2 linked regions of the Solanum lycopersicum genome follow. The protein of the gene in region 2 binds, or shares a complex with, the protein of the main gene of each other region. Links are inferred from orthologs where the notes say so. Each region holds a gene or a part of one and is shown on either strand. Other genes may lie near its edges.

Region 1 (4,331 bases), on a different chromosome or scaffold from region 2:
AACGTTAATTATTATAAAAGGTAAGGATATATTTATTTATTGTAAGATAAAGAAATAAATAGTGTGTAAAATAGGATATAAACAAACATGAAATAAACGAGGGTGTTTATCTAAATATTTTTATGGTCCCTCTTATTTATTCACAAGCTTATTTTCCCCTCTTTGCCTTTGAATTTTCCATTTTGATGTGCCTCCTATAATATCCATAGATAGTCAAAAACATAATTAATATCAGTGAATATAAATTAAACAAAAATATAACAAAGTTCAATGTGTGGTAAAATAATATTGCCAAACAAGTATATACTCAAAAAATATAAATCAAACAAATGAGTAACATAGTTCATTGTGTGGTTTGATGATTTTTATCACATATACATAAAAGTTGCTAGATGCAATTTTTATTTTGAAAAAAAAAAAACACAAAAATGTAGTGACTAGAATTAAACTTGGGACACAGTTGCTAGCGAAGGAGTGGTGTGAGACAAGAATTTAACCACCATGCTAGATTAGCTTTTGTGTATAAGGATGCACAAATTAATATATTATCGTCATTTAGATATTATACATGTGTACCTTTATAGGAATTGAATGAAAAAATCATCGATCATTATAAAATAAAACTCATAAAACATGTTTTTTTATTTTTCAAAAGACATTTTTTAAAATACTCACCTAATAGAGTCGTGAACACCCTGGAATGAGTAATAACCATATAAATAACATGTAACGCCAAAAAGTTTGAAAAAATTGACCAGAGGTGGCCCTATTGAGTACACCTCAATTTTTTAGTACAAATTACTATAGTAATGTGCGAATGATTTTTTATGATAATTTTTTTAAAATACTTTTTTATACATAAAAAATATCTTTATAATAATGATAAGTTAAAGTAGGCATTTGGCCATATGATATCATAGTATTGTGAGATGAAATCAGCATTTAGACATGCGATTTTACATTAATTCTATTTCATGATTTCATATTCTCTAGAAATCATAATATGGAATCATATGGGAATATCATATCATAATTTGAGATATTTAATACAAAAATTAATCCACACGTTTATATTTTGTTAAAACAATGCTACATTTATATCTACTAACTATTTATTTTACATGTAAATAAAATTATAGTTACATCATTACATTTTAAAATTTATTGTTCACACCAACATATAGTCACTTTAGGTCACACTTCACGATCATTGAGTAATAAAATCTTGAAGAACCCGTGAAAAGTGCTTCATTTTTAGATTGAAACATTACTTAAGTGGAGAACAAATAATTTTATAATAATTTATTATGCAATTTTATAATTTTTTATTTAATTTGATAAGATTGAATAAACAATTGAAGCAATTTTAATAGTTTTAGAAAACTTATGAGATTTTTACGATTACGTAAGAATATACAATATCAAAATTTCATCTCGAATATCTAAACAAAACTTTAATTGCATCTCATAATTTCATATCATGATACTATATCGCATGACCAGACCGCCCAAATCTACCATTTTGTTAAATATCGTCATTTGTTTTATTTTTTCTTGGTTTCTAAATAGATCCCACTTTTTTAAGCAATCTCTTGTCTGGACTCTAGATTTATGTAGAAATATATAACTAACTGAATGTTAAAAAGAATAAGAAAAAGCAATTCTAAAATCCCATATCACTTCTCCTAAGCTCTTGGAGATTTTGCTCATAATTATCTTAGAAAACTGATTAAAGGTTAGTTGGCTTTCAATTTTTTCTTTCTAGTTTGTTATGGAATTGTGAAATAATGGTCTTTTAGGTTATTGATTTTTAGCTTTTATTGGATGTTTAAGTTGTAGAATTTTCAAGTAAGGTTCAATATTTGCTCAATTTTTTCGTTTTCCAGATAAGGTTGATCTATTGACAGATTCAGGATTTGAAGTTTGTAGTTTGGGATTTAGATCTTTTGAGTTACTGAATTCTAAATTAATAACTGTACATATTAAATGGATTTTTGTAATGAAAAAAAAAAAATTGAGTTTGAACCAGAGTTATTGGGTTCAATAAATGTGTTCACATCATGAAAAAAAATGAAGGTTGAATTTTTTTGTTGTTGTAGAAGAATATGATGTTAGTTGATTTATCTTATTAGCCAAGTAATAATAATTAGATGTGAAGAAGTAAATTACTATATTGTTGTTGAGTTGATTGCATTACTTTCCTGTATTTTATTAGTATTTGATAACAACCTAAATGCTTTGTTTTCAATGTATTCTTGATTTCAGGTATTCATTTTAGATTTTAGAAAGCTGACTCTGGGATGGAATTTTGTTCTTTCTATTCGACACCCTATTACTGCGTTGTAAATGTTAAACCGAATGTGATTCAAAAATGCCTAATTTCAAATCAGACAATGTTTTCTAGACTAAAAGAAAGAAGATTGTGTTCTGGTTTAGATGTTTATAGCGTAGAGAAAAATAGGAAGCGGAGATCTTGCACTGTCGCTTCTGTTAAGGGGGTTGACAGTGTTGTTGACTCAAGTCTCTTGAATGAAAGCTATAACACAGATGTCGTGGATGGGAAAGTCGGTACAGAAGGTGTGACTAGTAGAGGTAAATCAGTACCAAAGGTTATGATTCCTAGTTTACCAAGTGAAGCTAAAGGCGATGCTGTTGCTGTGATTGATAGCTGTTTGTGGGAATGGAAGCCAAAACTGAATGTTCATTATGAGAAATCTGGATGTCAAAATGTTAACTCCGCGCCAATACTTTTTCTTCCTGGTTTTGGTGTTGGTTCCTTTCACTATGAAAAACAGCTAAAGGATCTTGGTCGTGATAACAGAATATGGGCATTGGATTTTATTGGACAGGGAAAGTCATTACCTAGTGAGGATCCAACTTCGCGGTCAAAAAGATTAAATGAATCGGAAGGTGATGGAAACAATGTTCTCTGGGGTTTGGGGGATGAAGTAGAACCTTGGGCAAAAGAACTTGTCTATTCTATTGACTTATGGAGGGAGCAAGTACGCTATTTCATCGAAGAGGTACAATTTCTATCTTTGTCCTTGTGTTTTTTCCCTCAAAATTGGTTGATCTGTAGATTAAGCATTGTCATTGATGTATTGCTAGTTTTTTAAATTCATGTTCGTTCAATACACTGGCTCGTAATGAATGCTAGAAGATGAAACTAAAAATATTCATACAAGGCTTATGAGTACATTACAGTTGCAGTCCTGACAATTTGCTATAGTATGCCAGAATAATGTTCCTTTGGCACTACTTGTTTATTTTTGTTCGATTTAGGCTATGGAACGATGGGCTTCTCAATAAGTTTCCAAATTGTTGATTGGTTACTAGGAACAAACTATAAACTTGTATCCTTTGGTGATGCAGGTTATTAAGGAACCAGTCTACATTGTGGGAAATTCACTTGGTGGATATGTTGCCCTCTACTTTGCTGCATACTACCCTCAATTAGTGAAAGGTGTAACCTTGCTGAATGCTACGCCTTTTTGGGGATTTCTTCCTAATCCTGTTAGATCTCCGAGATTATCTAGATTATTTCCATGGGCTGGTACTTTTCCTCTGCCCTCCAATATCAGAAAGCTCACAGAACTTGTGTAAGTGCCCTGACTTTCTGTTTTGATTATTTAGTTTCCTGATCCTATAAACTTATATACCGAGTAATAGGATCTTCTTGCCAGCTATACATTTTATATTGGTTAGCATCAAGACGATGACCAAATGATGTGTTGTTACATTTTGCAACTTATGCTGAAAAAATGAATCGTTCTTGGATAATTTGATGTTCTTTCATCATATAATAGAGGGACATTATGGATTGTATCCTTGTTTTTGGGTTTTGTCTGGTTCTCAAACTTATCCGTCTGTACGCTTCATTATGCTTCTGTAGATGGCAGAAAATTAGTGCTCCCGAGAGTATCGCAGAGGTGCTTAAACAAGTTTACGCTGATCATACCACAAAAGTAGATAAAGTTTTCTCTAGTATTCTTGAGGTAACAGAACACCCTGCAGCAGCTGCATCCCTTGCTTCAATAATGTTCGCTCCTCAGGGACAACTAAATTTTAAAGAGGCACTGACTGGGTAGGTAAAGCAAGTAGTATTACATAGCCGTGTCATTTGGCTTGCATATGTTTTCTTATACAGTAACAAAGCTGAAATCTTTCACCTTGCTATATCTAGGTGTCGAATGAACAATGTACCGGTCTGTCTCATTTACGGGAAAGAAGACCCCTGGGTGACGCCGATTTGGGGTTTACAAGTTAAACGTCAATTCCCTGAAGCTCCATATTATCAGATTAGTCCAGCTGGTCACTGCCCCCATGATGAA
Region 2 (4,159 bases):
TGTAAACTGGAAGAAGTTTCGAGCACTACAAACAATTGACCTGGTCTTTCCTGGTGCCATAGGTACATTAAAGGAACAAATCCATATCACCCACTTCTGATCACCCACGATTGGAAGCTTTGTGTCGATCTCTATTCTGGAAAATTTTCCAATGAGATCTTAGTCATACTATGCAAATAGTTGCAGCATGGATGGAGCTAACATTTACATATAAAACGTAATTCATACAAAGATATAAAGACATGTATACCAACAACAAAGCGAACTTCCATCTATTGATGCGCAAAGCCTTGTACAAACCATGCACCTGGTCTGGAAAGCTATACCTTAAAGAACCCGACTTGAACAGGATATAATGCCCACAACCATAAGAGTATAGATACATAATGCTACTAATGTCTCGTTTTGTTAGCAGATAACAGACTCTGTGAAGTAGGAGAAAGAGAAATGTGATGCAAGCATATCTACCTAAAGATGATTAATTTATACATGATTGCTTGCCTTGATAGTCAAGAAATTTGATCTACTTTAGGATGATGAACTTACTTATTCATTGAGTAACAAGGTGCGACAAATTTTGCAGTAATTTTTGGTTTATCATTGTTCGCACCAGCAAAACCCCAAGGTCCAGATGCCTCCATCTTGAATGGCAAGGGCTTTGCTCTGTCTCGCCTTCCAGTAACCTGTAAAATATCAACAAGTAAGTTAAGAGACATGTGTTGTTGGACACCAAGCAAGCAGCAGCAGTATCACTCTAGTAAAAATGCACATCTATATATACACCGTATTCTGTTATCTGATACATGAAGCCCTTTGCTAATAATAAAGTCGTTTAGCGACTGAAAAGATGAAAGCTCTACTTCAGATCTTTCTGAAATTTATATTTACAGATAGATACACACAACATTGTCTGTAAAGGTTATTTTAAGGATCGTCTGGCACGCTGTTCAGTATCTAGACTCCAGAGAGCCTAATCCTGTCAGCTGAATATGAAGCAACATCCAGAGTCAAAACATGTTATTCAGCATCCACACTCCGGATAGCCTAATCCTATCAGCTTCATCTTTTAAGATGGTAAGATCGAAAAACTATCCATAAATTGATAAAAGTAGCACTGAAGTCATAAGAGTGATAGTTAAGATTCCCATGGCGTACTTCTACCTATTGCTCTCCAAGTATGGCTTTTACCTAATAATTGCACAGAAAGTAAGGTTATGAAAACTTGTATAAAACAATGAGCAACACTCAAAAGCTACACCTTTATACCGTTCCAGATAAAGAGAAAATCCTCCAAGGAACGACCTTATATATGTTTTGGCCAAGCACAGCGAGCTACTTGGCTTAAGAGTTCAAAAGTTCACTTTTTTCACATGTGAAACAGTTTGAGTTCATATTTTCATGGAAATCAAAAACCAAACAACCCGTAGCTTATGAGAACTCAGAACTAACCCTGAAGACTATTCATTTTTAGCATGTAAGGATAAAACCTTAGGTCTGAAAGTGGATTCTTAACTATATTAGAAGCCAAAAAGGAATGAAAATGTTGCAAAAAATACCTTGTGGTGTGCAAAATCAATGTGAGAAGGATCAGAGACGTTCTCCATGAGAGTGTCATAGCCATAAAACAAATCACGCTGAATTGTCACAGTTGCAAACTCAGGCTTATCAAAATCTTCAGGCAACCTACAAATATCCCATTAAACAACAAATTTAAATCCCACTAAAAGTATACTCAAGTCTACCAACTATAATATCTTGATCAACGCGATAGGTAGGGGAATGGGATTCGATTCTTCAACCACACATGCAGGGCATCAACCAAGTGAGCTACCAAATCAATCTCATTATCCAGCAATAGCTTAAATAAAATACGAAGAACATATTTTAAGCAAGTCATTGTACTAAAGATAATCGATTAGTATTATAATATAAACCAAGTCACTATAGTAGAGATTAATATATAATAATATAGCATAACTTCGAACTAGTTTAATTAATTATTCAGAAACTTACATGGGCGGCTTTGTTGCCTGAGCTCTCTCCCATCCATTTTCATCAGGCCAAACAAAGAGTAATCCTTGAGAAACCATAGTAGGAAATCTAGTAGCACAAGCTCTTGGAGACTGAAAAGCTTTAGCTTCAGGTCCTTGAGATGCAGCTTGAGGTATCCTTGTACAAGAACCACATCCATTAAATGACCATCCATGATATGAACACTGCAAATCACCATTTTCATCTAATCTCCCTTCCTACAAACACCCATACATCAAAAACTTTAAAGAGGAGTGCTAAAAACACATATAAAAAGTATCCTCAAGCAAAATCGAGAAGTGGATTTGTACAGATAAAGGAGCAAGACGATGAGGGCATTTGTCATCCAAAGCAACCCACTGAGATCCAGATTTATCAAACCAGATAACTATATCACGATTCAGTAGCTGAAACGGTGTGGGTAAACTCGGGTCGAGATCTTCCACTAATGAAACTGGGTACCAATGATCTCTCCAAGAGAATTTCGACGACGAATCTTGTTCATCATTTTCTGTATCTTCAATATCACTAGATTTTGAATCTAGCTTCTCTTCTTCTTCAGTAGCTGTTGTTGTTGTTGGAGGTGCAGCTACTCTAAGAGGAGATGAAATTAGCGTATTTTTTTTCCTTGTAATTTGAAGAAAATTATGAGGTTTGAAAGGTAGTGAAGACTGTAAGGAAGATGAAATTGAAAGAATTTGAGGAGTTGGTAGTAACAGAGAAGAAACCATTATTGAGTTAATCAATGTTTTGTGTTACTAATACACATATGTTCAAGTAAAGAAGAAGAAGAAGGATTTGCGTGCAAGTTATGAACAATGTGTTTGAATTGGAATTTGATGAGTTTTGTGGTTTGTGAGGGAGGGCCCAGAAAATGAAAGCTGTGGTGGTGGTGCTTTAGGGAGAAGAAGAGACCGTGTTAACGCGGAGTGGTAAATACTTCTTTTATTTGGTTAGAGTTCTTAGGCTTGACTCATTCGAATATGGAATCGTATTTTTATTAGAGAGCTCTTTATTCTCAACGTGACACAAATTCAAATTTGATTAGGTTACACATGATAATAATTGTGAAAGTAAAGAGGAGATAAAATCAATGGTTAAATGTCAATAGCAAAATATTTCTATTACACACTTTCAACTCAAAATTTTAAAAAAATATATTTCTAACATGTGTTTGGAGTAAGGACTAAGGAGTGGAAAAGAAAATGATCTTGAAATGTCACAATATTTAGATAAGTTATTTAGTATAATTTCATAATATATCATATCGTAGCATATTACATTATATATTATTTTGATAAAAATATATTAATATATCCTATCGTTATCGATTGAATGTCATAATCAATACTTACAAGAAAATAAGATAGATCTAAGATCGAAAAAAAGATGAAATAAAATTATTAAACAAAATGAGAAGAAAGAAAAATAAAATTATAATACAGTCACACCAAATTGATGATTATACAAAATAAAAATTTTTCAATGTTATCTAATAATAAATTTAACAATACAGTACAGTAATAAAAGAGTCATTTTCTTAAAAGATTTCACCAACCAAATATGGAAAATATGTCAAAACACGCCCTAGTAGCAACAATTTTCTTCTTTGCTTTTTTTTTCTATTCATAAAAAAAAATCTAGTTCTATTCCCAATTCCCACCAATGTTTTCCTTTTCTTTTACTTGAATTTGGTATGAAAGTAAGTGCCTTCTTCCATTTAAACCAAATCATTAAAAAGAGGGGGGGAAAAAAAATTCAATTTTCCCTTTCTTTTTACCCTCATTTTCAAACTTCTTACTGAAAATTCTAGCCCCGTTCCACGCAGCATATTACATATTGTTGTTTCTGAACAATAAAGCAACATCACACTTACATATCTGAAAATCTCTAAAAGAACAATTTTTCTTGAAACAGTAGTGTCCAAGCTAGATAGGACGCTCCTCGATCACACTCTCAAACATGCAAATTTCCTCCAGAGTTTTCGATAACAATGGTGTCCAGGCCAGCTAGGGTGCTCCTGGATCACTCTCAAACATGCTAATTTCTCCTGAGCCAGTTTCAACAGACTCTCATTATTATCTCTTTTCATTGAATAGAAAGAAAAAGGGGAAATCTAGAGTGACTT

Evidence for each region. Proteins that work in one complex are often made in the same cells at the same time.
Region 1: lethal leaf spot 1-like protein (region 2) and pheophytinase, chloroplastic share a complex: the UniProt entries of both Arabidopsis thaliana proteins name them as parts of the SGR1-CCE-LHCII complex. The link is inferred for Solanum lycopersicum from reciprocal best matches to the Arabidopsis thaliana genes ACD1 and PPH.

The regions. Positions count from the first base shown.
Region 1 is NC_090800.1:78,700,256-78,704,586, reverse strand, and holds the start of pheophytinase, chloroplastic, read left to right. Parts: upstream 1-1,438; 5' UTR 1,439-1,735; intron 1,736-2,265; 5' UTR 2,266-2,300; coding exon 2,301-3,023; intron 3,024-3,372; coding exon 3,373-3,599; intron 3,600-3,892; coding exon 3,893-4,084; intron 4,085-4,183; coding exon 4,184-4,331. UniProt on the Arabidopsis thaliana protein: Alpha/beta hydrolase dephytylating specifically the Mg-free chlorophyll pigment (pheophytin), yielding pheophorbide. No activity on chlorophyll. Belongs to the chlorophyll catabolic enzymes (CCEs).
Region 2 is NC_090810.1:57,602,811-57,606,969, forward strand, and holds the start of lethal leaf spot 1-like protein, read right to left. Parts: upstream 2,852-4,159; 5' UTR 2,763-2,851; coding exon 2,343-2,762; intron 2,250-2,342; coding exon 2,014-2,249; intron 1,684-2,013; coding exon 1,557-1,683; intron 684-1,556; coding exon 547-683; intron 137-546; coding exon 1-136. UniProt on the Arabidopsis thaliana protein: Catalyzes the key reaction of chlorophyll catabolism, porphyrin macrocycle cleavage of pheophorbide a (pheide a) to a primary fluorescent catabolite (pFCC). Works in a two-step reaction with red chlorophyll catabolite reductase (RCCR).